Linked DNA regions of Pelodiscus sinensis. The protein of the gene in region 1 interacts with the protein of each later gene in a pairwise test. Links are inferred from orthologs where the notes say so. Each region holds a gene or a part of one and is shown on either strand. Other genes may lie near its edges.

Region 1 (16,111 bases):
AAAGAAATAATGGCAAATGGAAACTGACTAAGCAGCTAGCCCCAGCTGGTCTCTGGCCCCTCTCAATCCTGTGGGATAAATGCCCGTCTAGCACAGTCTGCTCCTTCAACGCAACTGAATTCCCAATGGAAGACTTGAATTGGCTGAAGGTCCTTGCTCCTCCCAAAAGAAGGGTCCCAGTAGCAACTGCCTAAGCTATACCTGTTTGTGGCTAACGGGACCTAGCTTCACTGCTGCTGGCAAAGTGTTTTTTCATCCGTGCTAGCAATCGGTACAGCCTTTGATGCACAATATTGAAGATACAAGAGTGCATTTGCATATTCTGCCTCCCTTTCAACCGCTCTCCTTCTCAAAAGACCATGGTAAATATACCCATGTGAGAAACCCCTGATCCCTCCTTCTGTTTAAAAATAAGGCCTGCTGGAGGCTGCACAATCCTACAGTGTTATGACTTAATCAACTGCAAGCAGCTGGGGAGCAAAGAGGATGTGAGGGAGGAAGTGCTATTAGGTATCATTTTTATTTGCAGTAAAAACAGGGGCTGTTTCTGCCCATAGATCCATATCCACAATCCCTTTGACTTGGGTAGTGCTGAGAGCAGAACTTGGCCCGCTAGATTCTTACGGCAGATGCGCAAATACAACTGGCTATTCTTGTCCAAATCATGCAGTTGCTGAAGTTTTACGATTCTGTAACTCTGAACTTGTTGGCCAAAATGCTGGGTCTTTCGTTACGTTTTTGATCTTGCGCCTTGCCCAGTGTTCCAGGCTGCCGCCAAGATCTCAAACACCCTCTTATGTGTCATTGTCAAACCAGCTCAAACTACCCCATGCTCTTTTAGTCTGCTTCTCCCAGCTCCATTTTTGATTATTAAGCTGAATCAGCTGTCAGTACATTTCAAAACCTGCCTCTGAAGTGGGTTTCTGAGACATGCATCTGCTTTTTGTAAAGCACCTCTCTTCCCAAAGGGTCCTAAAATCTTTTCCTTGCTGGTTTGAGCAGGGATATTTTACCACTTCTGATCTGCAGCGTTCCTCCCAGCAGTGCTGGGTTTGTGGGACTAGTCTACTTGGATTCCCAGCCCATTTCAGTTGAAGTGAACATTTCCCACATTCTGGGCTGCCTGGGGAGGGGGAGCTTGCCCTGGGTCCCCTCTTTGCAGGACCCCAAACCTAGTATTTGTATGACCTCGTGCATGCGGCTGCCTCCCCGCTTAGCTTTGGCCTGTCCACTCCTCCATTTCCATGTACAGAGGAGAGAGCAAGCCGAGCCAAACCTGTGTGATGGGGCAGCCTCCTTTTAGTCGCTTGACACACAGATCATCTGCAGCCACATCGGAGGTGAAATGCGCAAATGTGTTGCCATTGGACACTGGTGGCAAGTGGTCTGGTCTTATAGTCAAGTCTCTTTTCAAAGGGCAAGTATCAGCATCTAAAGTGCGGCAATGTCAATTGTTTAGTGGGTCCAGGCCTAGTCTGTCCTTGGAAGTATATTTGAATATTTAGCCAAGTGCTGTGCTTCAAATTACAAGGTCCAGTGGTCTCATGGCTTGGTTGCCTACAGTTAAATATACAACTCCACCTAAGCACTTAGGCTATGTCTACACTTGCACCCTCTTTCGAGAGAGGGGTGCAAATGAAGACATTCAAAATTGCACATGAACCTGGGATTTAAATATCCCACGCTTCATTTGCATATTCGCATTATGGCGCTATTTTGAAATAACAGACGCTGTTAAGACGTGGTTATTTCAAGAGAAAACCCTTTTCTCGAAATAACTAGTAAACGTCATTGTATGAGGAATAAGGGTTATTTCGAGAGAAGGGTTTTCTCTCAAAATAACCGCATCTTAACAGCATCTGTTATTTCGAAATAGCACCATAACGCAAATATGCAAATGAAGCACGGGATATTTAAATCCCGGCTTCATTTACAATTTCGAATGTCTTCATTTGCATCCCTCTCTCGAAAGAGGGTGCAAGTGTAGACATACCCTTACATAAGCAGCCTGACTTCTATTTCAGATGCTGACCACCAGCACCTTCTGTTGCTCTTTATTGATTTGTGGCTGCTCCGCTCTTCTGGAAAATCAGACCTGTCCTAGTCAGATATCCAAAGGTGGATTGTGGAGCCTGACCTTAGACATCCATTGTCAAAACAGCCGCTTCTGTCACAAAGACTTCAGGATGGTCTCTTAGGCCTGGTCTACGTTGCAGCGGAAGGTCAACTTAAGCGATGCAACTTCAGCTGTGTTTAAATATGCAGCTGGAGTCGACATATTTTAAATCATGTTGCTGCACTGTCCACACAGCGGAAGGTCAATGAAAGCAAACACTCCCATCTGCTTCCCTTACTCCTCATGAGGAGCAGGAGTACTGGGGGGACGACAGGGGTGCCTTCTGAGTTAGATTTAGTGGGTCTATACTAGACTCGCTAAATCGAACTTGGAAGATTGACCGCAGCAGCACTGATCTTCCATGTAGAATAGACATGACCTTAGTTACTGGTGGCTTGTTTCATTGTTAAAAATTCCCAACAAATTGCTATTCTGAACATCAGTCTGTAATTGTAAAAGAACAGATTTTACCTTAGGTATAATCTGTCTTTAATTCTGCTGTATGTTTTCGAATTTTGGATTGCCACTTGTGGGTTCTGTTAGTCACAAATTTGAATGTGTGTGGCTTTTTAAACTGGACAGCCATTGTTGTCTGATCAGTCCAAATAAAAAGCTATTGGTGCTTCTCAATGTTGTGATTTGTGTCTGTGTAAACATGAAAAGCTCTAGTTGGTAAAACTATTAATGCGACAATCCAGCGAACTAGTTAAATCTAAGGAAAACAGTCTCTTAAATTATATACAAAACTTGCGCAGCTGATTTTTGGCCTTTCAAAAAACAATCTGAAAAAAGAAACTAAAAACAATAATTTATTTCCTGATTCCTTAGGAAGTATGGTAAACTTAAAAAGGGGGGAGGGACATGTAAAGGTAGTATTCAAAAATTAAATGAATTCAAACGATGAGGACCATACCATTTTTTTTTTTAAAACAAGAGACAGGTTAGAAATCTTATTTACACATGCATAGAAAACTCTTCCTTTTGCCATTTAAATGTAAGTTCATCTAGTGTAAAAAAAAAAATTAGTGTTTTAACCTTTTTGCATACTGCTTTGATCTTTCCTATGCAATATAAAACTTTATCATAAGAATCCTTAGGATACTGGAAAAGTACAAGTTTGCCAAGGGAGTTGGTGTTGGTCTTAAATCCTTATTTCTGAAAAATGAATTGGTCGATGAATTCATTCTGGTCAGCTTCTATTTTACAAAGGGTCTCATATTCCACTCGGTATCTGAAAAAAAAGACACAGAGAATGCTTACAACCTGTATTTAGAGTTTAAATATTGGGACAATTTTAATCCACAAAACCAGTGATACTCTGAGAACGCAACAATGTCTACGCAGTTGACTTGCTGCCTGTACTGACATGTCAGCTTTAGAAAAAGTTTGTAAACTGTGTCCAATGTTGTGCATGGGGGAAAATATCAATAGCATCAGGTGTTTCATATATCAGATTTATTGTGGGAAACCGCTCGGCAGGCAGGCACTGAGCTTGAGGTCCAGTTTCCTTATATAAAGAACTACCACTGAAGAGCCCCGATAGGACCATTGTTTTAGGTCTGGAAGGGACCTTGAGAGGTCATCTAGCCCAGTCCTGATGCTGTGTGTGTAACTCTTTGTTGTTACTATTTATCCTTTCAAAATGTCAAACCAAAACTCCTGGAAAACTATTGGTCTTGGCTTCACAGGCCATCTTAACTTACCTTTCCAACTGCATTTTCTTCTCTGTTATTAAAGCCTGAAGCTGCTGCTGCTGGGCTTCTCTCTGTTTCGCTATAGACTTTAACAAGTTTCGGGCACCAATTGCCTAGGGAACCAAGACTGGGTTTTAGTAATAGTGCTCTCGGTTTTAGCAATAGTGCTATTGTCATTTTTAACAAGTCATTTGTCCAAGGGGTTTGAATAATTAGACTTCAAGGGAAGATAACGGCTTCCTAGAGCTGCCATTCAAACATTCATTACTGTGACTAAGTGCAAAGTCTAAACATATTACTTGACCTCTGGATGACTGGGGCAACGGATATTTAAGCACAGAATTGACCATTAGTTCTGAACCTTTTCCTAGATAAATAAGTTTTGTCCTATATACATGGTTTTTTAAACAACAAATGTTCATGCTTGTTTCTAGACTGACCTATAAAGTAGAGATCCCAGTAACATGTATTTCTACAAGTGTGGCGATTGCAAAAGTAGCTATTGAGATGTGTACAAACAAAACCGCTTTGTTTCTAATCAGCTGCTTCCTTCTGCCACATGTCTTCAGTGATGGTGCTGTCCCCAACATCTCATTAAAACCTACTGTTCCATGCACTCAATTTTGGCCCCATTGAATGAACTGGTAGAAGGACAAGATTGATTAGAAGGAAGAAATCTGCTATTTACATGCAAATCTAATGGATCAGCTGTAGGGTTGGGGGGAGGAGGGGAAGCACCAGGAATGACCTGAAGCTTGCTTGTTTGTGTGCCACAGGCTAGCAGTAGTCCTTTAAGCCCTTGGGGAGGGATAACTATGATGTTAATCCAAAAATAGGTGTTAACAGCTCGACCACTTAAAAGATCCCTAAAACAATCTCTATCATATCAATTGAATAACCACCTAGATTGCTTAAATCACACACAGGTAAGGCAGGGGCTACTGTGTTTTGTAGAGGACAGAATACTTCAGGAACCAATAATTTCATGTACAGTACCTTCATCTTTTCATTTTCAGCTGCTTTTGCTAGTTGATCAACAAGTTCTATTAAGCTACCCACTATTTTCTGAAACTCTGCAATTTCTGAAAGGGGAAAAAATGGTGGTGTTTAAGCCAGAAGTGTTTGTCAAAATGACCAAAATTCTTATACCATAGCACTGGTGTGCTTTTATCCAGGGTTTGTGTGTTATATCCTTAACACTGTTAAATAGCTTGTATTAGGAATGTTTACTATAAGACTTCTATACAAAAGACGGAGAGAAAAATATAATGAAAGGCCATTAAGTACTGATTAGGTTCTTGTCTTCTCAGTCTTCCTTCCCTCTGTTATTTATTTAGATCTATATTTAAAAAGAGATGCCATTGCCTATACAAGAATAGGTGCCCTACCACAGCGGTTCCCAACTGCCAGGCGGGCCACAGACCTCTGGCTGCCGGGCCGCGGCGGCTCTTGGGGCCCAGGGCTGGGGTACATGGTGCTCTTGTTGCAGCTGTTGGGAGAGGCGGGCCTGCCCTGCCTCTCAGCTAATCAGCGCCAGGCGGAGGGGTCTCCTCCAGCCACAGAAGAGCACTTCCTTGCGTGGTGGGAGGGCCGCACGGAGCCACTCTGCGCACCCCTCCTGCTGCGCAGGGAAGCGCTGGTCTGTGGCTGGGAGGAGACCCTGCGCCACACGGCCCTCCCGCTGCATAGGGAACCGCTCTTCCACAGCTGGAGGAGACCTCGCCCCTGCCCGGCCCAGAACACGCCTCTCCCAACAGCTGCAACAAGAGGGGCGGCGCTGGGCAGTGTACCCCAATCCCCAGAGCAGCCGTGATGCAGGCAGCAGTGCAGGGCTAGGTGGGGGGGGGGGGGCGGACTAGTGCTTGGGGGCTTTGGGGGCTGAGCTAGTAGTGTAGGGTGGCTATAGGGGCAGGGCTGGCACTGTGGTACTCTGAGGATGGGGCTAATATTGGGGGCTGGCACTGGGGAGACTCTGGAGGGGTTGGGTGCAGTGAAGCTCTGAAAACAGGAGGCTGGTACGGTATTTAGTAGGATTGAGAGCTTGACCAAGGAAAGTAAAAAAAGGGGAAGAACTTACTGTCTACAAAAGCTTTGCATTCTTCTTTGAGTTCAGTTGTTTGCTGTGCAACCTCCGGATCCAAAATTCGTAATTTATTCAGCTCATCAAAGTGAAGATTTGCATCGCCTAGAATGTCCTTGGCCATATCTAGACATCCGTTTTAAAGATAAAAAGCATGCAAATAAGAGCATTAAACTTGCAGCCATTTTCAAATTGCACTCTAAGACCCCAGAGCTCATATCAGAGCAAGACAGAACTTTAAAAATAAAGGTGTTGGCTGTATCTAGACTGGCCGCTTGAATTTCCGCAAAAGCACTGACTTCCTCCTGTAAGAATCAGTGCTTCTTGCGGAAATACTATTCTGCTCCCGTTCAGGCAAAAGTCCCTTTTACGCAAAGCTTTTGCGCAAAAGGGTCAGTGTAGACAGCTCAGATTTGTTTTCCGCAAAAAAGCCCCGATCGCAAAAATGGCGATCGGGGTTTTTTTGAGGAAAAGCGTGTTTAGATTGTCACGGACGCTTTTCCGCAAAAAGTGCTTTTGCGGAAAAGCGTCCGTGCCAATCTAGACGCTCTGTTCCAAAAATGCTTTTAATGGAAAACTTTTCATTTAAAAGCATTTCCGGAAAATCATGCCAATCTAGACGCAGCCATTGAGTCCCATCCCACTGTCCAGGAAGAATGACAGTATGATGGTCCCTGCGTGAGCCCCAGGAGCTGGTTGTGTACAGGGAAAGTTAGGGCAACTGGAACATGACACAATGAGAAACAGCTGCCTGGATACGCCCAAAGCTGCTTCTCTCCCCAGGGTGGGTGTTTCGAGGTCGACAGCTAGCACTTCATCTGGCCTGGTGCCACTTCATGCAAAGAAGCTGACTGGCTTTAGCATACATGCGTGCTGAGCAGATACACTACATGGCAGAGGTTATGATGCTGATCAGAACCTGGTAGCTTTATGTATAGAGGAGCTGTCACAAGGTCACAGAGCAAGGCAGTAATGGACAGCCTGGGTGGGGAATGCTCCCCAAGGCAAATGTCATCTCACTTTGTCTGCTACCACATGCCCACTCCCATCTAGCCTTTCTCCACAGAGGGCAGGCTTTCCACAGAGAGTTGGGAATCTTGAAGAAAACCTTAGAAAACAATTGCTCTTGTCTACACAAAGGCTTTCTCCCCCCCCCCCCCTAACCCTGGGCAGCAATGACAACCAAGCTAGTGTGGACCCCGTGGGAGCATGTTTACCATAGTGCTGCCGTGATCCAAGTGCATGGGACGGATTTGGGGCTGCTAGTCCCAGACCAAGTTTGAGAGGGACAGTGTCAGAAAAGCCTTGGGGTTGAGGCAACCATGGTCGGCCCTCTCCCCATCTCTCCCCCCGCGCCCTTAGCTCACCACAGTGTTGTCGCACAACAGGAAAGTGGAGTGGGGCAAGTAAAGCCAAGGGGCTGCTCCCTGACTGCTGCCAAGTCCCTGGAACACTGTGTGCCTCAGTTTACCTGCTGTCCCAGGGACGGAAGCTGCTGCTTCACCTCCCCGGGGCTTTTTATGCAGCTGGCTGAAGTGACCAAGTGCCCAGGGGTGTGTGTGTGGGGGGGGGACAAAGCCAGCCTGTTGCCCACGTGGCTGTGGGGGGGGGGGGGGAGGGACAGGGGTTGGCCTGGCTGTGTGGGGGAGGGGACAGGGGCTGACCCTGGCGGGGGGGGGGAGGAGTTGACAGGGGCTAACCTGGCCTGACTGGGGGGGAGGGGCTGACCTGGCCGGGGGAGGTGAGGAGGGGGGAGGGGCTGACCTGGCCGGGAGGAGGGGGGAGGGGCTGACCTGGCCGGGGGAGGTGAGGGGGGGGGAGGGGCTGACCCGTCTCCAGGCGGCGCTGCCGGGGTCCCCAGGCGTTCGGGAGCCGCCGCGCGGCCGCCTCGTACCTGCCCGACGCCCCCGCTCGCAGGGCGCTGGGGCCTCCGGCTGCCACGGCGACAGCGCCGGTATCGGCCGGACCGTACCACTCCCGGGGGGAGGGGGGACGGTGCATCACGGGAGCTGTAGTCCCACCACGCGGCGCCCGCCCGGAGAGGACCCGCCCCCGCTTCGGCGCGGCTGGAGACAGCGGCAGAGCCCGCCCGGCTCAGCCCCCTGCCGCCGCTCGGCCGCAGCCTGCCCCTGGCCCCGCCGCACGCACCGACGGGGGCACAAGCCCGCTGGGGAGCGCTTCTCGCGCCGTTTCTCTTACCCCAGTGCATGCTGGGGCTTGTAGTCCTGAGGCGGTGGCGACCTTCTGACATGCTGGTGGCTGCGGCCTCTGCGGGCAGGTGGCCCCGGTGCATGCTGGGGACTGTGGTCCTTGGTAGACAGAGACCTGTGGCATGCGATGCCTGTGGTGTCAATGGGCCGGCCCCGGTGCATGCTGGGAGTTGCGGTCGATGGGCCGGCCCCGGTGCATGCTGGGAGTCGCGGTCGATGGGCCGGCCCCGGTGCATGCCGGAGCCTGTAGTTTGCGCTGCAGGGAGCGGTCCCGGGCCGTGGGGGGGAGGAGCCGGGCCCGCGCCGGGGAAGCTGCGCTCGGAGGCTGTGCCCGGGGCAGGGCGGAGAGCTGGGCCGGGATCTCCTGCAGCGGGGGCCGCGGGGAAGCATCGCGAGCAGCTCGGGGAGCACGAAGGGCCCGCAGCCGGGTAAATACCCCCGGGATGTAGGGAGGCGGGTAAATACTCTGGGGGGCGGGTAAATACTCCCCGCCTGGGAAGGGAGGTGGGTTAATACCCCCGGGCTGGGTGGGGGGAAGGGAGGGAATCGGGTAAATACCAGCGGGCTGGGTGGGGGAGGAAGGGAGGCGGGTAAATACCCTCGGGACTGGCGGGGGGGGAGCGAAAGAGGGTGGGAGGGAGGCGGGTAAATACCCTTGGGACTGGCGGGGGGGGGAGCGAAAGAGGGTGGGAGGGAGGCGGGTAAATACCCTCGGGACTGGCGGGGGGGGGTGTAAGCGAAAGAGGGTGGGAGGGAGGCGGGTAAATACCCTCGGGACTGGCGGGGGGGGGGTGTAAGCGAAAGAGGGTGGGAGGGAGGCGGGTAAATACCCTCGGGACTGGCGGGGGGGGGTGTAAGCGAAAGAGGGTGGGAGGGAGGCGGGTAAATACCCTCGGGACTGGCGGGGGGGGGGGTAAGCGAAAGAGGGAGGGAGGTGGGTAAAGATTCCTGAGGCTGGGGGGAAGGAAGGAAGGAGGGAGGTGGGTGGGTAAATATCCCTGGACTTGGGGGCAAGAAGGAAGCCGGGTAAATGCCCCTGGGAGTGGTTGGAGTGGGGAGGATGCCCCCAACACGTATCCCCTGTGAGTATAAACCCTAGTGTGCGTAACTAATCAAAGTGTTTGTCTACCTGATTGTGGTGGGGCTGGTGATATCTGCTACAAACACACCGATATCATTGGTCTGGCCAAAAGGGTAAATTAGTGAGATTAAGTCCTCTCATTTGTGGGCAATGTTAAATGTGTGTGTGTGGGGGGGGGGGGGGGGGGGGGGGGGTGGTATTTCCTTTCCTATGTTGAAGCCTTTAGGGTTGTCCCTAGTGGAAGGAGGACAACTTTTTGTAAGCGGGGATCAGGGTGGGATGGGCCGAGATACTTGTGGTGCTGGAGCTGGGACTTCAATAATAACAATGCTGATCTCTCATGTTGCACGTTTTGCCTCCGAGCGCTTCACAAAGTGTTTCAGGAATCACACTAAGAATGCTGAGACTTACGGTAACTTCATGAGAGTTGGGAACCATTCTCCTCTCTTCCCTTTGTCGTATATCATTCATTACTCGTTAGCTGTATCGCGCTGGTGACCAGGAGTCACCTTCATGGACCAGAACCTTAGCGTGCTCGGCTGTAAAGACCTGGAACAAAAAACATGATCCCTTCCCCAAAGAGTTTTACAGTATTTTCATATGGTATGTCTGCTCCTTGCAGAAGGGGCCATGTTTCTCTCTACCTATGAAGCAGGACTAACAATTTGTAAAGTTCCCTACCTCCCAGGGGGACAGTGAGGGTTAACTAATGTCTGTAAATGTAAATGCACAGAGGCACCATAAGCAAATATTTTATCCCTTTGTAAGGCAGCTTCTTGCATGTTCTGAGGATGCCTTATAGATGTCCAGTGCCCTCTCTTTTTTTATTTACAGCAGGAATTCTTAGATTCTCTTGCCGGTGTCCCCCATGCCTCTTGAAAATAAATTCCTGTGTGCGCAGTCACGATTCTCTGCAATCTAGGGAATGGTCTCTCTTTTGCTGCCTACTGACTAGTTCTCATGCAGTGCATTTCATTTCATCCCAAGATCTCACCTGGCTTTATAAAGGAGGACAGCAACATTATTCATATTTTACAGTTGAGGAAACTGATGCAAAAATGACCAGTCTTCCAAGTTCCACTCCTCCGCTCTCTTGACTAGGCCAGGGGTGGGGAACCTTTTTTGGGTTGAGGGCTGCTAACACACAGAAAAATCAATCGAGGGGCTGCACACAAGTAAGAAGAAAAAAAAAAACAAAAAAACCCAGCCCTCATTGACGTGGTCCCTGAGAAGGAGAAAGACACTCCCCACGTTCCCCTTACATACCAGAACCTAGTGGGGTTCAGGCTAGTAGATTTTGTGTGCTCCAGTCCCACCGTAGACATGGTCTCCCCAATGCTGGGGGGGGGGGGGGAGCCCTGAGCCTCGGGGGCTGCATCCAGGCAAACTGGGGGCTGCCCACGGCCCTGAAGTTCCCTACTCCTGGACTAGGCCATGCTGCTTATTGTTTCCTACAGATAAGTCTTAATACAAAAACGAGAGCTGGTTTCTGTTCCTGGTTCTGCCCCTGACCTTAGGCATGTTTTCCCCATGTGTAAAATGGAGATAATGATACAGCTCTCCATTATAGTTTGAATGCTTGTCTCTTCCACCAGCAGAGTAGGTCCAATAAAAGAGATCTTTCACCCTCCTTTATAAGCATTTTGAGATCGACCGATGAAAAGTGCCGTGTAAGAACGCAGTGGTGGTGTTTGTCATCTGTTTAGACCAGTGAGGGGCAGCCTAGGCTAGTGAGTGGGCCACATGAGTAGCCCTTCATTTCAATTGGTTGCAAGATTGTTGTAGCCAAGTCGGTCTCCCGGGATAGTATGGTTTTGCTTGTGTACCTAGAATTGGCAGGGTGTGCGGATGTAACCGTAGCAGGGCTTTGATTGGTTTCAGAGGGAGCACACGGCTCTCGCGATATTGTGTACAGTCAGCACGCACCTCACTTCATGTGCCCCTGCTTTACCTGTGTGTCACTTTAGTAGGAAAGGAACTATGTGGACGAAAACTGGCACAATCTGTCAACCTTGTGCATGGGCAACGGTAAACAAAATGTCTCATGGGCCACATATAGAACCCCATTGGGTGCCATGCGGCCTTTGGGCCACAGATTGCCCACCGCTGTTTTAGATGATCAACTTTGGGGTGCAGGCTGTCTCCTGTTCCATGTTTGTACAGAGCCTGTAACAGTGGAGCTCTGATGTCAGCTAGAGACTCTACATATTGCTGTTGTAGTACAAGCGAACGCTAATAGACCAGTTTGTGTCTCTCTTCCAGCTCCCTACCGGGCTGGACCCAAAGATGGGGAGTGGTGTTTATCGTCCTTAGTTTGTGAGTGTTGCTGTTTGAAATGAATGCTTCTTTTGAGCTGTTGAGAACGTGGTCTGGGATTTACAGTAGTTATTAACTGGGACAGTTTCCTGATGTGAGAGATGAAATGTTGTGCTATTGTATTTACAATCTTGTGCCACTCTTCCTGCTCAAGGCAGGAAAGAAGGACAGAGTAACAAACTTTTCCTCTTACAGTCAAGACGCTAATTGAGGGTTTCCTTGCTGAGTATGGGTGAAGTCTCCTAGCCTGCCTCTTAATTAACATGTGAAATCAATTGTATTGGCTCCCATGCGACTTGTCTGGATGGCAAAAAGGATTTCCCTATTTTACTCCTCTGTGCTTTGTTGGGAGAAAATAATAGCGCTAACAAAGACCCTGATTCTACAATGAGATGCTGTCAGGCAGACTCATGTAGGTTTCTGGAACTCTGACTGGGTGTGGAGATCTGCCATTCATTGCAGGATCAGACTCTTGAATTCTGTCCTTTTCAGAACCTTTATAATCACTCATTCTGAAAGTCTTTAAACATGTTTTATTTAAATCACTCCCTACATTAACTGGATTTGAAAATTGGTTTTTACAAAATTTAATCTTTACTGAAAACCTCAGACGATTGTAATTGTTTAAAACAAAATCCAAATGAAGCCCCTTGATTTTTAAATCAGTATTATTTCCCTTCAGCAACTGAAACCTAAAAGTGAAAATGCCCGTACACAAATAAAACTTATTTTTTGTTTTGTTTTCCAAGGTAACAAAGACAAACGGAGGATAGATTAGAGGGCAGTCCTTACCCATATGCAGAACATGCAGCTGCATAGGGCACCTGAAAATTTGGGGCACTACTGGGTCTTAATATCCACCCATTTGCCTCTTCCTGTTCCTGGTCTGTGGCTTTGCTTCTTGCGGAGAGGATCTAGTTAACTTTAACATGAAAAAGCCTGCCAGACCCATTAGCAGAACATCCAACCGGTGAAAGAGCCATTCAGGTGGTAATGAAGGCATTGAAGAGGCATTTGCCTACCCCAGGTATATAGTGTCAGTTTCTGAATTTACTGTGTTAGTCGACAGGACCTTTAGTGTTAAAATTTGGTTTAAAACTATTCATGAGTGTGTTGCTGAAGATTCTAAAATCACATCTCTCAAAAGTCATCACCCTGCCAGCTGTCGTCGGGCACCAGTTTAGTCGCACTGCATAGGCCCTCGTAAATCCTAAGGACATCCCTGATGGATTATATCGCAGCGAAAGCATAGGTCAGGTTATCTGAAATAAGATAGGAAACCTGCTCTTTATTCCTATTCCTGTGTCAGACTTACTGTCTGTATGTAACTTACCTTTACCTTTACCACGTGAGTATTGTGAGACTGAATTTCCTTAGTGTTTGTCATGTGCTTTAGGACCTTTTAACAGGGGGTCTCAGAAGTGAACAGTGTGGTATTGTTCCATGATCTTGTCATTGTGTGACAGTACACCCAAGCAGGTCTTGGTGATCACCTCTTATAGGGCATGGCTACACTACATCCCTCTTTCGAAAGAGAGATGTAAATTAGATAGACTGAAATTGGAAATGAAGCCGGGATTTGAATTTCCCATGCTTTATTTGCATAACGGCGGCTGCACGTTCTTTCAAAAACGGGTATTTCGAAAGTGAAACCGCCGTCTAGACACGGTTCTTTCAGGAAAAAAAAACTTTCAAAAGATCCTGTACTCCTCAAAAAATGAGGTTTACAGGATCTTTCGAAAAAGGGTTTTTTTCCCCGAAAGACCCACGTCTAGACAGTAGTTTCACTTTCAAACTACCCATTTTCAAAAGAACGTGCAGCCGCCATTAAGCAAATGAAGCGCGGGAAATTCAAATCCCGGCTTCATTTCCAATTCGGATCTAATTTACATCCCTCTTTCGTCTAGACATAGCCTTAGTGATTAGTCGCTTGCAGATCAACAGTTGCTTTTATAGCCATTTCCTTTTGTGATGCCTGATTGCCTGTGATTCATACTGACTTCTGAGATGCTTGGCTCAAATGATCCGCGAGGAAGGAACTTTCAACCTGTTTGCAGGCAGAAAAGAATTTGGGCTTTGTTTTCTAGGGCTGCTCAGCTGGAGGTTAAGAATGCAACCAGTGAGTGGGGCTGCCAATTAGAGCCAGTTATAACCTGACTGACCTGCTTTGGCCTCAAAATGCTTTGTGGAATTTGCTGTGTCCTTGCATGTTGCAGAGTTTGCTTCCCACTCACTGTGGATTATTAGAGGCAGTTGGCAGGGATTACTCAGATCCAACAAAGGGGGGAATGACGCTGTTGGAAGGTTTGTCTGGGTCTGTAATATCAGTGATTCTTCAAATCTCTGACATTTAAGTTGCCATCTGTAGCTCTCGGGAGGTTATTCTGTACCAGGTGGATGCTTAGCTCTCTCATGCTGCCGGTAGGGCAGTAAAGGATTGCACTACCTGGTAGTGGGCTGTTTGTAAGAGATCACTGATGGTGCCTTTTGCTGTCCGGAGAAGTGAGAAGACAGAAGAGCCTGCTACCCGAAATGGACAGATCGGTAGATTCAGCGCTGGATTTACTCTTCTGGGGGCCTAGGGCCATTACATTTTGTCATTCCGCTCCCCCAGGCTCCAGGGTGGGGCCAAAATGAGGGATTATGGGCTCTGGGGTGGAGCTGGGAACGAAGGGTTTGGGAGGCAAAAAGGGACTCCAGGCTGGGGCCAAGGGATATGGTCGGCAGGAGGTTGGGGTAGGGATACAGGGTCCAAGTAGGAGATAGGGTGCATGTGAGGGTGAGGGGCACTGACCTGGAGCAGCTCCCCTTTGGTGGCACAGTGGGGAAGTGGGCAGGTGGCTCTGTATTTCCCCTGCAGGCACTGCCCGGTGCAGCTCCCATGGGCCGCAGTTCCCGACCAATGGGATCTGTGGGAGTGGAGCCTGCAGGTAAGGGAAGCACATGGGCAGAGCTTGCAGGTCCAGGCCGGCAGGAGGGAGGCAGGAGTGGAGCCGCATTCCACACCCACCCACCCACCCGCGATGCAGGGGCTTCAGGAGCTGCATCCCAGTGCCTGGGCTCTGCAAAAAGATCCGCCCTTTTAGACTACGCGTAGTGGGAGGGAGGGAAGAGATTTCAGCTCTGGGAGCAAAGTGCAGCTGCTCCTGAGCTCAGCTGAGCACAGCCCGGTGCCTGTGAGATCCAGAGTCCAGTGAGAGGGTCGTGGCTCTGATGGGTTAGATGGGGCCCATCTTTGCTTGCGTTCGTTTGGTTCCATTTCTTGTTTTGCTTGTGTGGGGATGGGAGAGAAGAGGGGCGGGGAGGGAGGGGCTAGGACTGGACTAGAGACAGGTTAACTTCATTTATCTGCACTCATCAGCGAGGAATGTTTCAGCAAACAGGTCCCAAGCAATCTTCTCCACATTGGAATGCAACTACAGCATCAGCTAGTTGTTCCCCTGTTAGTGAGAACAACTCTGACTGCAAAGATGTACCAGGTGTATGGATAGAGAAATTGAATGGCCCCCACAGGGATCGGAATCGAGTTGACAATGGAGACTGCCAGGAAAGCCCTACACGCTGTTCTTCCAGCCAAGGGGAAGTGCAGGAAACTCTCCCATTGTGAGGGACAGGTCTGAACGAGATGTGTAATATCCCTCTGGGAAGCAGAGAGCGAGCGCAGAGTTCCTGCCTTCTGCCCAGAGACGTTCAGACTGACGTGTTTCGCCTCCACTTCAGGTTTGGCTGATGCCTCCGCTTTGTAAAGTCCTGAAAAGTGTAATTTGGCCAGGGGGGTTTGAAGCACCATTGTTTTCAAATGATTGTTTGAAATGAGCTGCCAAGTTTTGTCTCCTATTGAAGAGAAAATCAACCCCCATTTTTTTTTCTGCTGTCTCCTTTGTTAAACACCGAATGCCAGTGGCCTGGATTATTTTCTCATGACTTTGTTGGGAGGAAATAGCTCGTTTCCTGATGCATTGTAACTAGGCATGCACTCACACTCTGTGATTTCTTTTATAGCTTCCCTGTGTCAGTCCTTCATTCAACCTTTCAGTTATGCCTGCTAATAATGCGTCTGTCTTCGTACAAGCAAAATGCAGGAAAATGTAGCACTTTAAAGACTAACAAGATGGTTTATTAGATGATGAGCTTTCGTGGGCCAGACCCACTTCTGGCCCACGAAAGCTCATCATCTAATAAACCATCTTGTTAGTCTTTAAAGTGCTACATTTTCCTGCATTTTGCTTCAACTACCCCAGACTAACACGGCTACATTTCTATCACTTGTCTTCGTACAGTGGTTTGTAAGCGTAGGACAGCCGTGTTCCTGGCTAGCTATTCAAATAAAGTCCATATTCTGTCTGATCCCCTTCTCTCTTTTTCCCCTTTTTTTCAATGTTGTAGGTGGGATTTTTAACAGGGCTGTAACGCTGCTCCTGTTGGCATCAGTGGGAGTTAGGGTGTGAAAGTGCAGCCATTTACATGCTTAACCGATGAGCCTGGGCTAGCCGGTTAACATGCACGATTACACGCATCCCCCCCCATCAGAGGCAACAGCACAGGGGAGGGGGCAGATGGGAGCTGGTATGTGCGGGGAGCTGGCTTTTAAGCTGGCACCTTGCGGAGCCCCCT
Region 2 (15,558 bases), on another chromosome or scaffold:
CCCCCAGGCTCCCGCCGGCACATTGCACGAGGCCCCCAGGCCCCCGCCGGCACATTGCACGAGGCCCACAGACCATATGGGGCCCCGCTGGCACACTGCAGGAGGCCCACAGGCCATACAGACCCCTCCATTGCACGAGGCCCACGGGCCGTACAGGGCCCCACCCGCACACTGCAAGGCCCATGGGCCGGCGCACCACACAAGGCCCATGGCCTCCCTCAGCACAACCCACGACCGGCCTTAGTGCTTTGTCACGTTTCCTTGTCTGAGCTCACGCGAGTGTGAACAGGCAAGATTAGCCTGCGGGGACCCAGCCAAGCACACGTGAACCTCGCAGCCCCTCAGGCCTCATTCCATCCCTGGAAGGTGGGTGGGCCACCCCACACTGGGCTGGGCAGCCCAGAGACAGCGAAAGGATGGGGGGAAGGGACACCGAGGGCCCCATGCTCCGTCCTCCCAAAGGGCCCGGCGGAGCCGCTCTGGCTCAGGGCGTTGCAGCTGGGACAGGAACAGGGCCCAGGGCCCAGGGCCCACGAGCCAGGGCTGGGAGCAGCCCCTCGGCAGGCTGTGTCCCCTCAGCCTGGCCACTCGCTGCTGCTTTCTGCCTCGCTGAACCCTTGCCAAGTCCCCCCGGGCCCGCGAGGCGAGGGATCTCTGGATGAGCAGCCTGCCTGCCCGCCCCAGAGAGGCCCGTCTCTCCCCCGCAAGCGGAGAACTGCTCCAGGCAGACTTCTGGAGCCAAGCAGCAGATTCAAAGCCACCCTCCCTTGGAATTACCTGGTCATGGGGCTTTGTGCACTGAGCCGGTTTGAAACCTCAGCAGCACAGCACAAGGGCTCTGCTAATCTTCCATGTGTGGAATAAATGTGTGCGTGCCACGGCCCGTGTGGATGTGCACCACCAGCAGAAAGGACAGAGCTAGCTGCACTCTCCCCCAAGCGCCCCGCATCCAAGGAGCACGCCACAGCAGCCGGCTGGGCTGTCTGGAAGCAGAACCCGGGTTGGGGGGGCTCCGCTTTCCTCTCCTAGTGGGCATATGCCGGCCCTCTGTGGGCGCCGTTCACAGGCCCGGCTGGCGAGTGTGCGAACACTGCGCCCATGGCGCTTTGGAAGCCGCGGTGGGGCTGGAGGCGGGGGACCGAGGCAGGTCTGCCTTGCGTTATGGAATCAGGGGGAGGGGCTGCAGCAAGGGGAGAAGACACAAAAATCACATTCAACGCTACAGGAATCCCGTCCCTGGCTGAGCCTCGGGAGCGAGGGATCGGCCATTAAAAGCCGACTTGTTTTCTGCTCTGGGGACGGGTGGGCTGGGAGCGCAGGGCCCCCGCGTGGCTGGGGATCGGGCCCCGGTGGGGGGGGGAGGGAGCCAGGCTAGCGCAGATTCCCCGAGCTCCAAGTAAAGCGGCGGCCAGGAACGCTGCCGTGCGGGCGTGGCAGCGGGGGAACCCCTGGATTTCGGGGGGGAAGGGCAGAGGATGCCAACCGTAAGCTATTCTCTTTGCCCACTGGGCAGACGCCTGCCTCTGGGGGGAGCATGGCCAGGGCGCAGCACGGGACCCGCAGGCCCTGGGGGAACAAGGCCCCTGCAGGCGAGGGCGTCAGGTCCCGGAAGCACCGGCTCGCGGGCCCCCTGGGGCTGGTGCTTTTGCAGGCAGCTCCCAGCAACCCGGCTGCGCTGCCCTGGCGGAAACGCTGCCTCCCCCCGCGCCATGCGGTGCCGGCCGCCCCGGGCTGGGCTCAATTCAAGGAGGGAAGCAGGGGGGCGGGGGGAGGTTCAGGTCAACCCGGGCAGGAGAGGGGTGGTTGGGAATTGGGCCCTGTGGACAGAGATCAGTGGGCAGGAGGGGGACCCAGGCCCTGCTCCGGAGGTGGGGCCCTGGCCCAGGCTGCAGGCAGGCGGGACGGGGGCCCGGAGGGGAAGGGAAGGGAAGGAATCACCATGTCCCGTCCTTCAGCCTGGTGCACGAGGGCCCAGGGGCCCGGCGGCTGCAGCCCCAGAGCTGGGCGCAGGCGGGGGGGGGGGGGTCGGTCCCTGGCTCCGGGGTGGTAGGAGGGGCAGGAGGAGACGCGTCAGCGAGCCAGAGTGGAGGGAACCCAAACCCCCGACTCACGGCCACTGGCACAAATCCCTGGGCTCCAGCGTGTGAACCCCCCTTCGCCCTGGCCTGGCTGCAGGGCTGGGCTCTGCTGGGAGCTACTGCACAGCTGCAGCACCCAAAGGGTTAACCTGGGGGGACACTCCGGCACTGCCCCCCCCCCCCCACACACACACCCAGCAGCTCTCCCACTCAGTTTCCCCCAACCAGTCAGCCAGCTTCATGACAGGCCCTGAATTGCACAGCAGCTGCTGCGGAGGCAAATGAAGGCCGCTGGGGGAGGGGGGGGACCCTGGAGCTCAGCTGAAGGTGCTGGGGGAGGGGGACACGGCTCACCCCCCACACAGCGGATGGCTGGGAAAGGCCCCGTTTAATGGGCACCGCAGTACAGCACGTGGAGGAGGGGAGGGGCGCCCGGAGTTCGGCCAGGCCTGTGCAGGGCCCATCCGGCGAGGGGCCCCCGCGCCACAGCAGTCCAGGGCCCGGCTGGGGGGCAGTGGGCGGAGCCGGGCGAGGGGCCCCGCGCCGCAGCAGTCCAGGGCCCGGCTGGGGGGCAGTGGGCGGAGCCAGGTGAGGGGCCCCACGCCGCAGCAGTCCAGGGCCCGGCTGGGGGGCAGTGGGCGGAGCCAGGTGAGGGGCCCCACGCCGCAGCAGTCCAGGGCCCGGCTGGGGGGCAGTGGGCGGAGCCGGGTGAGGGGCCCCGCGCCGCAGCAGTCCAGGGCCCGGCTGGGGGGCAGTGGGCGGAGCCGGGCGAGGGGCCCCGCGCCACAGCAGTCCAGGGCCCAGCTGGGGGGCAGTGGGCGGAGCCGGGTGAGGGGCCCCGCGCCGCAGCAGTCCAGGGCCCGGCTGGGGGGCAGTGGGCGGAGCCAGGTGAGGGGCCCCACGCCGCAGCAGTCCAGGGCCCGGCTGCCTCAGGCCTTGGAGTACTTCCGGTGGATGGAGTCCCGGTAGAAGCGGAAGACGGCGTCGGCGGCTCGCTGGGCAGCGGCGATGCACCTCTGCAGCTGTGGGGAGCAGGGAGACGGCGTGAAGGGGCCCCCAGCGGGCCTGGAGCGCCACGCAGCCACGACGCAGCCACGAGCGTGTACACACGAAGTGACAGCCACGCACTACCCAGCAGCGTGCGCAGTCACAAGGGTGCCCTGGGAAGCCACGTGCTCGCACGGCAAGGCCTGCGTGCACCATCACAACACGCACTAGCGCACTGCCCATGCCCGGGGGGAGTCTCTGGGGCGCAGCTGGGCCGGGGGCCGAGGCCTCGCGTAGCAGGCTCCAGTCTGGCGCCTCTGGCGCTTGGAAAGCCGGGAGCAAAGGCAGAGGGACCCCTGCTCGGCCGGTCCAAGCCCCGCAGCGGGGGGTCCGAGCTGAGCCCCGCCCCGCCCCGCAGTCAACCCCCACAGCGGGGCACAGGCTGGCAAGCAGAGAGCCTCATTGGGATTCCAGGCAGGCAGGCGAGACGTCTCCTGACAAACCCGCTTGCCTGGGGCACTCAACACCAAACACATCATGCCCCTCGCGGCTCGGCCACGCGCCGGGAGCCCGCCGGCAGGAAGGGGTGGGGGCTGGAATACCAACCCCCTCTCCCTGCTGCCTCGGGGAGACACCAGGGCTGCCCGCCTAGCCCCCCCCGCCCAACCCACACCCGGCCCGATGGGCACCCCATGTCCCGGTCTCCAGCAGCCGCAGCCTCCTGGCCTGCCCCACTCCCCAGGCCCCCACTCACCTCCTCTACTGAGCAAGTCCCCTTGGTAGTGGACATGAGCACCCGCCTCTCCACGCTGCTGATGGCGAAGGTCAGCAGGGCTCGCGCCTCCTGCAGGGGGAGGGCAGAGTGAGCTGTCTGCCCACGCTGCTGGGGGCGGGTCCACCAGGCCAGGCCATTCCTGTGACCCTGGGCCACCAGGTCCCTCAGCTCCGGTCCCTGCCTGCTGCCCTCCCACCCACTGCGCACCGCACAGAGAGCCCCACCGGCCCAAAGCCCTCAAGTCTTCCCTCAGGGCTTTGCTATCAGACCCTGGCCCAATGCTGGAGACAACTGCCCTTGGGCTGTTAGCCAGGCAGCTGGCTCGCACCAATATCCAGCGGCAGGGAGTTCCACAGGTTGCACGAAATGAGATTAACTCAACTTTACTACATCAGCTCCCAGTGTTGCCACCCCGCACTGGGCCTACGTTTCCCCTATTTCTGACTCGCTGTCACCTGCTGCACTAACCACTAGATCCCGCTGCGGCTCAACTCGAGCCCCGCACAGTGCCAGGTGCGGCACAGACCCCCTCCCCCCCGCCATCAGGCCCCCGTTATGCTGCAGGTTGCCATTAGTCCCACAGGACCCTGCAGCGCCAACCCGGCCTGGCCACCTCACACCCACTTTCTCCTGCTTGGCCGTAGGGTCGAGGCTGAGGGCTCCATCAGCATCCAGGGCGCATGTGACCCCGCAGAAGAGCGACTTCATGGGCAGGCCGGCATCCATCAGCCCCATGCAGGCCGCGTTCAGGCAGCAGGCCAGCAGCTGGCACCAGGTCAAGGGAAAGGCTGGCAGCCGCCGAGACAATCACCACCGACCCCCAGAGGCAGGACTCAGGCCTCAGAACCACCTGAGACCATGGCCCGTCGGGCCGGGCGCCCCCCAGGCCCCGGCCGAGATCAGGGCCCGTCGGGCCGGGCGCCCCCAGCCGAGACCAGGGCCGGGCGCCCACAGACCCCGACCGAGACCAGGGCCCGTCGGGCCGGGCGCCCCCCAGGCCCTAGCCGAGATCAGAGCACTGGGCTCTGTAGGGTCTGGAGGATGGGCAGGGGGCTAGGGGCTGACTTGGAAAGGAGAGTGGGGGCTAGTGGTTTCTGTCCCTGGCTCTGGCACAGACTAGTGTGACCCTGAGTAAGCCCCCCCCCGCGCGCAGAAACCCCCCCCCCCCCACGAGGATATTGCTGGTGGAAAGGCCACGCCAGGCCCCAGGAGGCGCAGGGCCGCATGCCCTTCCTGCCAGCGCTAATCCCTCCCCGGGGACTTGGCTGAGTGAAGAGAGAGCTGCCCCGGGCAGGCCAAATTAAGTCATCACTCCTGCCTCCATCAGTCTGAGCCAGCCGCCTCCGCCAGCCGCTAATCCCTGCGCCCGGCTACCCCCCCGAGACTCTGTCACTTAGCACCCACATCACGCACCACAACTCAATGCCTCCAGTGCCGGAACGGCTGCTGCACCCACTCCACAGCCCTGCCCAGCCCCGCTTCATGCCAGTTCCTCCGTGCTCGCCCACAACGGGCTGGGCTGCGGGTGAGAGCGAGGGGGAGGGCAGGGACTGCGGGTTGAGAGTGAGGGGAACTGGCAGGCCTGGGCTGGCAGGGGCTGCAGGTGGGGAGCAAGGGGCACCGGCTGGGCTGGGGGCACCTGGGGCTCCCATTCCCTCTTCCCAGTGCCCTGCTTCCCAGGGTCTGCCAGGAAGCCCCATCTGGGCACGGGCCAGAGAGCAAACCCACCCCTAGCAGCCACTGCCACAGCGCGGCCACCACTAGGGGTACCACGGGTTGTTCCATTGGGCGCAGCTGCAGCGAGCGGTGCAGGGGCCTGGACAGCCACAGAGCCGAGCCCTTAGGAACAGGGCCCGCAGGACGCACGCTCGCTCCCTGTCCCACACTGAGCAAGGCAGCCGGGCCTCCCCCAGCTGCCAGGGAGCACCCCCTGCGGACGCCCCTCCCTTCCCTGCGGCAGCCTGGGAGGTCCCCGCTGCCCCCTTAGGCTGCGAACGGCAGCAGCTCTGTCCTTCCTGCCCCTGCCCGCCACCCCCAGCCTGCCAGGGAGGGGCAGACGCACGCTGAGCTGCCTGGCCTAGGAGGCTGGGATCAGCCAGGGAGCAGGCTGTCCAGCAACTCCAGCCTGGGCGGGACCCCGGGGTCAGGGACGGCGAGCCAAAGCCCCTGGGTGTGCAGGGCGGCAGCTCCCACCCAATGGGGGGGGGATGGAAGAGCAAGCGGGCAAAGCGCCCCCCGGCACACGCCGGGCAGCGCCCCCTGCTGCCTGGGAAGGATACAGAGCCGGCGTCACTGACCACCTGCAGCACGATGGTAACGGAGGTTCGGGGGTGCAGGGTGCCCAGGATAACGGCCTCACACGTCCTCCTGATCAGTTGCTCCCGGCTCTTCTCAAAGACGCCTGGGGAAGGACAGGGGGGCGGGCTGACAGCGAGCCGGACCCGCCCCCCGCAGCCACCTGTGCACTGCCCCTGAAACCCAGCCCGCGACCCCGGCATACCAGGCACTGCCCCCACGCCCGTCCATGCAGACCAGGCCCCTCGTCCCCACAACCGACCCGCCCACCCAAGGTCAGCAGACCCTGAACGCGCCAGACAGACAGACGGACCTGCCCCCGGCTTGGGACAGAACCGCTCAGCGAGCTGCAGGCTGCTTTGTCAGTCCCGCTGCACGGCCGTCCTACAAGCTCCTATTATTGTAGGGTGCCCTGTAAACATGCAGCTGCCAGAACCAGGGACTTGGTTTTAAAGCCCCCCCCCCCAGCCCCGCGGCCGCTGCTTACCCGGGAGCCCCACTTTGGGTTTGAGCAGCACTTCCAGCGTGGCCTGGTCGTACAGCTCCCTGCTGCCCTTCACCTCCGCCGGGCCGTACAGACCGGCCAGCACCGACGTGTCTCCTGGGGGGGGGGGGCGGGTCAGACTCGGCCCCGCTCCCCGCGTCGGGGCGGGACTGGAAACCCGGAGGGGCCCGGGGGGGGGGGGGCCGACCTACGGGTGGGGGGGGCCCCGAGGCGAGGAGCCGGAGAACAGGGAGCCGGGGGGGGGGGGGGGGGGGAGCAGCTCCGGGCCGCAGGCAGGTGGGGGCGGTTTAGAGGGGGCCGGAAGTGAGGGTCCATGAGCAGAAGCGGGGGCCAGAAGCAGGGGTCCCCGGCCGGAAGTGGGGGGGGCCGGGCAAGAAGCGGGGGGTCCCCGAGCGGAAGCGGGGGGCCGGGCAAGAAGGGGGGCCGGAAGTGGGGGTCCCGGGCCGGAAGCGGGGGGGGCGGGCAAGAAGGGGGGCCGGAAGTGGGGGTCCCGGGCCGGAAGCGGGGGGGGCGGGCAAGAAGGGGGGCCGGAAGTGGGGGTCCCGGGCCGGAAGCGGGGGGGGCCGTAAGTGGGGGTCCCCGGCCGGAAGCGGGGTCCCGGCTCACCCTGCAGGAAGGCGGCGGAGCCGTCGGGGCGGCCGAGCGGGCCCAGCTCGCAGGAGAAGGGGCGCAGGGCGCAGCCCCCCGGCTCGGAGCCCATCGCGACTGCGGGCACCGCCCCCTCTGCACGCGGAACGCGGCCCCACCTACCGACCCCACTTCCGCTTCCGGGGCGGGCGGGGAGCCCCGTTTCCATAGCGACGGGCGCGCTACGGGGAGGGGGGTTGCCAGGGTGACGCGCAGACGGACGGCGCGGGGAGGCGGGATCACGGTTGCCATGGCGAGGGGGGCGGGGCTCCAGGCGGCCCCGCCTTCGCAGCAAGATGGCGGCGGGCTGGGGGCTGCGGCGGGGCCTGGGGCGGCTGCTGCGGGGGGCCCGGGGCCTGGGCGCCGCCGTGAGTGCGGGGGGGGGGGGGTGAGCGTCGGTGCTGCCCGCGGGGGGGCTCCGCGCCCCGTGCCTCAGTTTCCCCGCGGGGCGGGGCTCGGGGTCCCTGCCCCCCCCCCCCCCCGGGCCGGGATCCCCCAGCAGAGGCCGGTTTGGGCGGGGGCGCAGGAAAGGCCCCCCCCCCCCTACTCCCCCCCCCCCCCGCGCGGGCCCGGCCTTGAGCCGCCGCCGCAAGGACGCGGCGCCCGCCCCGGCCCCACGCGCCGATCACGCGCCGGCCCCGCGGGGGGGGCAGCCTCTTGCTGGCTGCACGGGGAAGAGGAAAGGGGGGCGCTGGTGCCCCCCCCTCTGTACCCCATCTCCGCAGAGGGGCAGGGTGGGGAGGGGCGCCCTGGGTCGCGGTGCCCAGCTGGAGGCTGCGTTCGGAACCCTCCTGCTCCCCAAATCTGCCCCCAGAGGGAGGGGTGAGCAGGGGCGGGAAGGGGGCGGGGCCGGGGTGGATCCTGGATTGCACTTCAGTTCCCACAGGGATCTCCCCCGTAAATCGGCTGGTGACCCCCCGGCTTTGAGTCCCCCCCCCCCCCGGCTCTCTTCGCTCGCAGGGCACCTTGGCCATACGCTCGCGGGGCCTCAGGCTGGGTGTCCCGCGGCGCAGACACGTGGGGGGAGAAGTGTCGGAGGCAGTGCCCCCCCCATCTCACCTGGTCCCTGTTGCCCCCCAGCACGCACGCCGGCAGCAGCAGGAGTTCACCTCCCTGGAGGAGAAGCCGCAGTTCCCTGGCGCCTCGGCCGACTTTGTGGACAAGCTGGATTTTATCCAGCCCAACGTGATCTCGGGGATCCCCATCTACCGGGTCATGGACCGGCAGGGGCAGATCATCAACCCGGATGCTGATCCCCAGGTGGGAGCGAGGTGCTGCAGGGAGCCAGCCCTGGTCTCCCCGTCTCCTGCAGGCGGTTCCTGCCGTCCCCCTGGGGCACCTCGTCTGTCCCCTCCCACCCACACACACCCCATCTTCCCAGCCCCCCGCTTCTGTCCTGCCACCTGGTCTGACCCAGCCTGGCCGCTCTGATGCTCCTTGCAGCCTCTCTCCCATTGGCTGCTTTCAGCCCCTTTCCTGACGGGGGCGGGGGCACACCGGGCTGCCTGGCTGGCGAGGGCATGGGACCCGAGCGCCACTCGGCTGCTTGGGCTTTTCTCGGCCCCGAGTCACCCTGAGATCAGAGCCCTGGGGGGCAGCGCCACCACCCGGCCCCTCCTGCGCTGACCTGCGGCTCCTCGCCCCTCCTGCCCCAGCTCTCCCAGGAGCAGGTGCTGAAGTTCTACAAGACCATGACGCTGCTCAACACGATGGACCGGATCCTCTACGAGTCGCAGAGGCAGGTGCGGCTGCTGGGGGGCAGCACGGGGCGGGCAGGGGAGGCCGGGAGGGGCTTTGGGGCTGGTTCCTGGGCACCCTGCGATTTGCTTCCGTGGTGTTGGATTTTAGGGTGATTAGCTCACCACAGGGGTAATTTCCCACAGTACAGGGCTGAGCACCAGGACTCCAGATTGTCTCCCAGCTTGGGGAGGGCAGTGGGGGCTAGTGGTTAGAGCAGAGGGGGGCTGGGCACCAGGACTCTGGGTTGTCTGCCAGTTTGGGGAGGGCAGTGGGGGCTCGTGGTTAGAGCAGAGGGGAGATGGGCACCAGGACTCTGGGTTGTTTCCCCGCTTGGAGAGGGCAGTGGGGGATAGTGGTTAGAGCGGGGTGGAGGGGGCAGGCGGGCACCAGGACTCTGGGGTTCTCTCCCAGCTCTGGGGGGAGGAAGGGGGAGGGGTCTGTGACTAGCTAAAATCACAGCAGTCCCCTTGGGGTTGTCCCGTGCTGCACTGACCGTGCCACTAAACTGGCCTTCCCGCCCACTGACGCCTTGTTGAAATGGAGCCGCGCTTCGTCCACCTCCCTCCCCGACAGGAATGAGGCATGGCCAGGCGGGGGTTGCACATTCAAACTGTAACTGTAAAATCAGCAGCTTACACGGCCTCTTTTGCATCAAGCATCTACGAATTCTGCACATTCATAGTCAAAAGCCAGTTCTCACACCGCATGGGAGGGTGGTGCGGAGTCTAGTGGTTAATGCCGGACCCCTGAGTTGTTCCCAGCTCTGGGAGGGGAGTGGTGTCTAGTGGTTAGAGCAGAGTTGATTCCTGGGTTCTGTTCCTGTCTGCTCCTCTGTGCATGTCCTCAAGACACAGACCTGGCCCATGCCTCAGTTTCCCCACAGTGGTGAGGATACTGGTCCAGTCCCCAGTTAATTCTTTGTTCCTTTTCCAGGGCAGGATCTCCTTCTACATGACCAACTACGGGGAGGAAGGGACTCACGTGGGCAGTGCCGCAGCGCTCGACGACACGGACCTGGTGTTCGGGCAGTACCGGGAAGCAGGTGCTGGCTGATTGCGGGGGGTGACCCCCACGGCCACCTCGCCCGCACGTCCATGCAGTGCTCACTGGGGGCAGCGCACACGCGCCCGAGCTGTCCCTCCAGGGAAGGCTGGGCTAAAGCCAAGCCACTTCTCAGCCCCTTCTGCCGTGGGACGTGCCTCTGAGTCCCAGGCCCCCGCGGGAGAGCCAACCCCGCGCCCATGGGGGCTCGCTGGATGCCCCGGGGCCTCCCCGTAACCCGGCTGCGGTTCTGTGCCCCAGGCGTGCTGATGTATCGGGGCTACCCCCTGGACCTGTTCATGGCCCAGTGCTACGGCAACGCCAGCGACACCGGCAAAGGGCGCCAGATGCCCGTGCACTACGGCTGCCGAGACCGGCACTTCGTCACCATCTCGTCCCCGCTGGCCACGCAGATCCCACAAGGTGAGGCCCCCGGCGCCCCTCCCCTGGCCAAGGGCGGGGCCAGTGCACCGGGCGGGGGGGCTGCCGAGGTTCCTCGCTCCCCACCTGCAGCCCCTGCCAGCGCCCTTCATTCCTGCCAGGCCAGCCCTCCCCTCACCCCCGACCTGCAGCCTCTGCCCCCTCCAGCCCTGCCAGGGCCCCTCACCCCCGACCTGCAGCCCCTGCCAGCTCAGCCCAGCCCTGCCAGGGCCCCTCACCCCCGACCTGCAGCCCCTGCCAGCCCAGCCCAGCCCTGCCAGGGCCCCTCACCCCCGACCTGCAGCCTCTGCCCCCTCCAGCCCTGCCAGTGCCCCTCACCCCCGACCTGCAGCCCCTGCCAGCCCAGCCCTGCCAGTGCCCCTCACCCCCGACCTGCAGCCCCTGCCAGCCCAGCCCAGCCCTGCCAGGGCCCCTCACCCCCGACCTGCAGCCCCTGCCAGCCCAGCCCAGCCCAGCCCTGCCAGGGCCCCTCACCCCCGACCTGCAGCCCCTGCCAGCCCAGCCCAGCCCAGCCCTGCCAGTGCCCCTCACCCCCGACCTGCAGCCCCTGCCAGTGCCCCTCACCCCCGACCTGCAGCCCCTGCCAGTGCCCCTCACCCCCGACCTGCAGCCTCTGCCAGGGCCCCTCACTCCTGCCCCACAGCTCCTGATCAGGAGGGCGGCTCGGGGCGAGGCACCAAGCCTGCGCTGACCCCTCCCCGCTGCTCTGCCCCCCAGCCGTGGGAGCTGCCTACACCTTCAAGCGGGACAACGCCAACCGGGCCGTGATCTGCTACTTCGGGGAGGGCGCGGCCAGCGAGGGCGATGCTCACGCCGGCTTCAACTTCGCCGCCACCCTCGAGTGCCCCATCATCTTCTTCTGCCGCAACAACGGCTACGCCATCTCCACGCCCACCTCGGAGCAGTACCGGGGCGACGGCATCGGTGGGGCCGGGCCGGGGGCAGGGCGGGCTCACGAGGAAGTGCCGCTGGGGAGAAGGGGGGGCGTAGAGCCGCTCTGGCCTCCCCCGAGGCACTGGCCAGGAGAGGGGCTCGGGCAGGAGGGAGTGTGGGGGGCCGGGGGAGGAAGTGTCTGAGGCGGGGCTGGCCCAAGGGGCGCAGGGTGACTGGCGGCTCCTCTCCACCCCCAGCGGCCCGCGGCCCCGGCTACGGGATCATGTCCATCCGCGTGGACGGCAACGACGTCTTCGCCGTCTACAACGCCACCCGGGAGGCCCGGCGCCGCGCTGTGGCCGAGAACCAGCCCTTCCTCATCGAGGCCATGACCTACAGGTGGGGGGGGGGAAGGGGCCGGAGCCAGGCAGGGGGTGGGACCTGCAGGGGGCGGGACTCACTCAGCTCCTCCCCCAGGATTGGGCACCACAGCACGAGTGACGACAGCTCGGCCTATCGCTCGGTGGACGAGGTGAATTACTGGGACAAGCAGGACCACCCCATCTCCCGCCTGCGCCACCACATGCTGAGCCGGGGCTGGTGGGACGAGGAGCAGGAGAAGAGCTGGAGGAAGAAATCCCGCAAGAGGGTGAGCAAGGCCCCTCCCCCAGCCCCAGGCTCCGCCCCCCTGGGCTGGACACGGACTCCCTGGGGGGGAGGGGCAGGCTGGGAGCCAGGATCCTGGGCCCCCTGCTGGCTCTGGGTGGGTGGTGGGGCCCAGTGGGCGGGGCTGGGTGCTGAGAGGGCAGCGGGGCCTAGTGGGCGGAGCTGGGCTATGAGGGCGCAACATGGCCCAGCGGGTGGGGCCGGGCTGGCTCACACTCCCTCCCCTGGCAGGTGATGGAGGCCTTCGAGCAGGCGGAGCGGAAGCTGAAGCCCAGCCCCCACTACCTCTTCTCGGACGTGTACGGCGAGATGCCCCCGCACCTGCAGAAGCAGCAGGAGGCGCTGGCGCGGCACCTCCGGCTCTACGGCGAGCACTACCCGCTGGAGCACTTCGAGAAGTGAGGCCTCCTGCCTGTGGGCTGCCCTCGGCTGGGGGTCCCTGGGCTTGGGGGGGGGGGTTAGTGCACTCTCTAATCAGCCTCTGCTTCGGGGGCTGGGTTCTGCCGGGAGGGGCCCTGAGGCCCCTGGGCGCCTGCCTGTTACGTGTGGGTTTGCTGCTCTGGGCGTGGGGGCCGCCTGCTGCTGTTACGCTGCGCTGGGATCCTGCTGGGGCCTGGCCCCCCGGGTGCCGGTGATCAATAAACTCTCCACACTACGGCTCCCTGCCTCCGTCCGCCACCCCCGTACCCAGCAGCGGGGTCCTGCCCGCAGCCCCCCGTCTGGGGTTCCAGGTGCCTCGCCCCAGAGTCCCCCACGCAGCAGGGGAGCGGCTGCTGCAGGCCATGGGAGGAGGGAGCATGTCTGGTCTCGCGGTCGCGGCATCACAGCCCCCTGGAGCCGCCATGGGGCAGACGCCCCTGAGGGCCTGTGTGGGACGAGTTCCACGCAGGGCATGTAGCCCTGCCAAGCACCGAGCACAGGGTCCTGCCACGCCCCTCAATGGCCCGGGGGGCTGGCAGGCAGCTTGGGGCGGGGGGGGAGAGGGAGGTTAAACGCAGGGAGAGGGCAGCAGAGTTGGGCCTGTTCCAGAGAGGGGGCCTTGTGTTTCCATTGGCCGTGTTCCCTTCTTGCCCTGCGCCACAGCATGGGCAGCCCAGTGCCCCCAAGCCAGGCTCTGCTGTGCCCATACATTGGGGGCAGCCCCCCACGCTGGCGACCCCTGGGGCCAGGCTCCGCCCCACCCCACGCACCAGGCTGGGGTGCCGTCAGCACTGCAGCTGCGGGTCCTGCAGCAGCCGCCAGAGGCGCAGCGTCTGCTGGGGGCTGCGGCGATGCACCAGGAGCAGGCGGCGGTGGGCGCACGGGTCGTCCCGGTCCTTCTCGGGGATGTCCAGGGTCTGGAAGGCGGGGTGGGCCTGGGCCGGCACCCCCAGCCCCTGGAAGCAGAGCCCGGCGTAGACGTCGTCGATGGGGTAGAAGGCCACGTGCTGGGCCATGAGGAGGAGGGGCCGGAGCAGGCGCCCGGCAAAGATGTAGCCGCCCCCGCCGGCGTAGGCCGGGTAGGGCCCCTCGTAGAAGGACTCGGGGATGAAGTACTTGCTCTGGGCCAGGCGGAACGGGGAGGCGTTGGCCATCACCTGCCCCGTGTAGAGCGTCTCGGCCCGGGCGGGCTCCAGCCCCGCCAGGAAGGCCAGCACCTGGGGCGTGTTGACGAAGACGTCGTCGTCGCCCTTGAGCACGAAGCGGGCGTGGGGGCAGTGCGCCGCCGCCCAGCCCAGGAACAGGAAGTCCTTGAGCGTCAGGTTGAAGAAGGTGTCCTCGAAGTCCCACACCAGCAGGTCGCCGAAGGCCTGGCCCTCGTGGGCCACCAGCTGGCGCAGGTCGGGCTGGTGCGGGCCGTGGGCAGTGCCCAGCAGGAAGAGGGTGCGCACCGCCTGCCCGCCCGGCGCCCCCTCCTGGCCCCAGGTCTCCCGCACGGCCTGGCGGGCGGCGAAGTGGCCCGGCTGTGACTTGATGGCCAGCAGCAGGAAGGGGCGGCTGCCGGCGCACTTGTGGGGCTGGTTGAGCAGCAGCGGGAAGCGGCGGCACCCGGCGTGCAGCACGAAGCGCCGGTGCTGCTCCGGGTAGGAGGCGAAGTCCCGGATCTCGGCCGCCACGGCCAGCCCGGCCCTGCAGTCCCACGAGCCGTTGGCCAGGCCCCACTCCAGCGCCCGGAAGAGCTGGTGCTGCTGGCGGTTCCAGTAGGCGTCCGCCTGGGGGATGCTGCCGCGCAGACGCTGGAGGGAGCTGTTCAGCCCGGCCGGGTCGACCTCCAGCAGCTCAGGGGGCAGGAGCTGGGTGGGGTGCTGGGCGGGCAGGGGCTCCGGCTGCTCCTCGCTCCACTCCACGTAGGCCTTCAGGGCCAGCAGCGTCAGCAGCGCCAGGGCCACCGTCAGCACCTTGGGCCCCTTCATGGCCCCGCGCCATCCCGGAGCCTGCAGCACGGGGGGGGGGGCTGCGGTCAACGGGGCCGAGAGCGGCCCAGGGAGCGATCCCTGCCAAGGTGACGCGGGCGCCTGAGGGCGGGCCAGGGGCCTGCAGGACGCATGCTCAGCTCCCCCCAACGGGGCACCGCGTGGGCAGCCCGGATCTCAGGTGGCTTGGCTCTCACACCTAGTGCCACGGACGTCACTTTCCCCTTGGCCACGCCGGGCGCGTCTTCCACGACCTCCAGGTGCTGCTTGGGGCAGGCCCCGGGCCCCGGGCAGCACTTCCAGCCTCCCTTGGGGCCGAGCCCCCCAGCCAGCCCCTGTGTGGCCCCAGGACCCTGCTCCCTCCCTCCTGGGCCCGGGCCCCGGTGTCCCTGTCTGCTCCGCCCCCAGCCGGACGGGCCGCTGCCTTGGGCTGCGGGGAGTTTGGGGGGCCACAGGCCGCTCGCTCAGCCGGCACCCCCCGCCCCTCGTGGAAAGGGGAGCCCCGGGGCTGGGCCCGGCCCCCTCCCTGCCTCCTTTACCCACAGGGATTGGCTGCCAGTAGCGGCTGGCCCGGGCCAGGGCGTTTCCTGGTCACTCCTGGGACCGGCCAGGCGCTGGCCAAGGGGCTCGCTCTGGGTCTCTCGCTTTGGAAGGGGCCTGGCTCCCCCGGGGGGCGCCCCCAGGGGCCCCGGCCGAAGCAAGGGGCTGGGGAAGAGCCTGGCTGTGACCAGCGCCCGGCCGGGGGACATGCGGCTGCCTCCGTTACCTCGCGTGGCTCAAGGGCCCGGTCCCTCCGCGCCGGGCTCGGCCATTCCCCGCCGGGCGAGCGACAGCCCCAGCGTGGTCCCTGCGAGGAGACAGGCCAGCTCAGTCCCTGGCAGCCCGGCCCCGGCGGGGCGGAGGGGCTGGGAGTCCGGGGCCGGGGCTGCAGGACCGACGCGCTAGTCCCTGGCCAGGCAGCAGCCGGGCGCACGGCGCCACGCCCGACACAGACCGCCCCGGCCGCTGCCAGACTGGCCTCCCGCGCAGGGCCACGGGGCCGCGACCGAGCGGTGTCCAGAGCCGGCCCCCAACCGGGGTCACCCGCCGGGGAGGGGAGCGGGGGCTGGGCGGGGCCCTGTTTCTACAACCCCCCCC

Evidence for each region.
Region 2: the proteins of TNFAIP1 (region 1) and EXOSC5 interact in binary tests that used the Homo sapiens proteins (3 or more experiments, as listed by UniProt). The two-hybrid records come from large-scale screens. The link is inferred for Pelodiscus sinensis from reciprocal best matches to the Homo sapiens genes TNFAIP1 and EXOSC5.

What each region holds. Positions count from the first base shown.
Region 1 is NC_134731.1:11,335,533-11,351,643, forward strand, and holds the start of TNFAIP1 (BTB/POZ domain-containing adapter for CUL3-mediated RhoA degradation protein 2), read left to right. Parts: upstream 1-8,280; 5' UTR 8,281-8,316; coding exon 8,317-8,528; intron 8,529-16,111. Other genes in the region: TMEM97 (sigma intracellular receptor 2), read left to right, coding at 1-10; IFT20 (intraflagellar transport protein 20 homolog), read right to left, coding at 3,266-3,347, 3,820-3,923, 4,807-4,892, 5,888-6,016, 8,090-8,183. UniProt on the Homo sapiens protein: Substrate-specific adapter of a BCR (BTB-CUL3-RBX1) E3 ubiquitin-protein ligase complex involved in regulation of cytoskeleton structure.
Region 2 is NW_027465992.1:97,876-113,433, forward strand, and holds EXOSC5 (exosome complex component RRP46), read right to left. Parts: upstream 7,473-15,558; 5' UTR 7,437-7,472; coding exon 7,247-7,436; intron 6,737-7,246; coding exon 6,623-6,736; intron 6,242-6,622; coding exon 6,120-6,241; intron 4,606-6,119; coding exon 4,465-4,605; intron 3,910-4,464; coding exon 3,820-3,909; intron 3,101-3,819; coding exon 3,008-3,100; 3' UTR 2,448-3,007; downstream 1-2,447. Other genes in the region: BCKDHA (2-oxoisovalerate dehydrogenase subunit alpha, mitochondrial), read left to right, coding at 7,564-7,635, 8,348-8,527, 8,923-9,009, 9,941-10,049, 10,310-10,471, 11,207-11,413, 11,620-11,761, 11,840-12,011 and 1 more; B3GNT8 (UDP-GlcNAc:betaGal beta-1,3-N-acetylglucosaminyltransferase 8), read right to left, coding at 13,234-14,442, 15,188-15,268. UniProt on the Homo sapiens protein: Non-catalytic component of the RNA exosome complex which has 3'->5' exoribonuclease activity and participates in a multitude of cellular RNA processing and degradation events.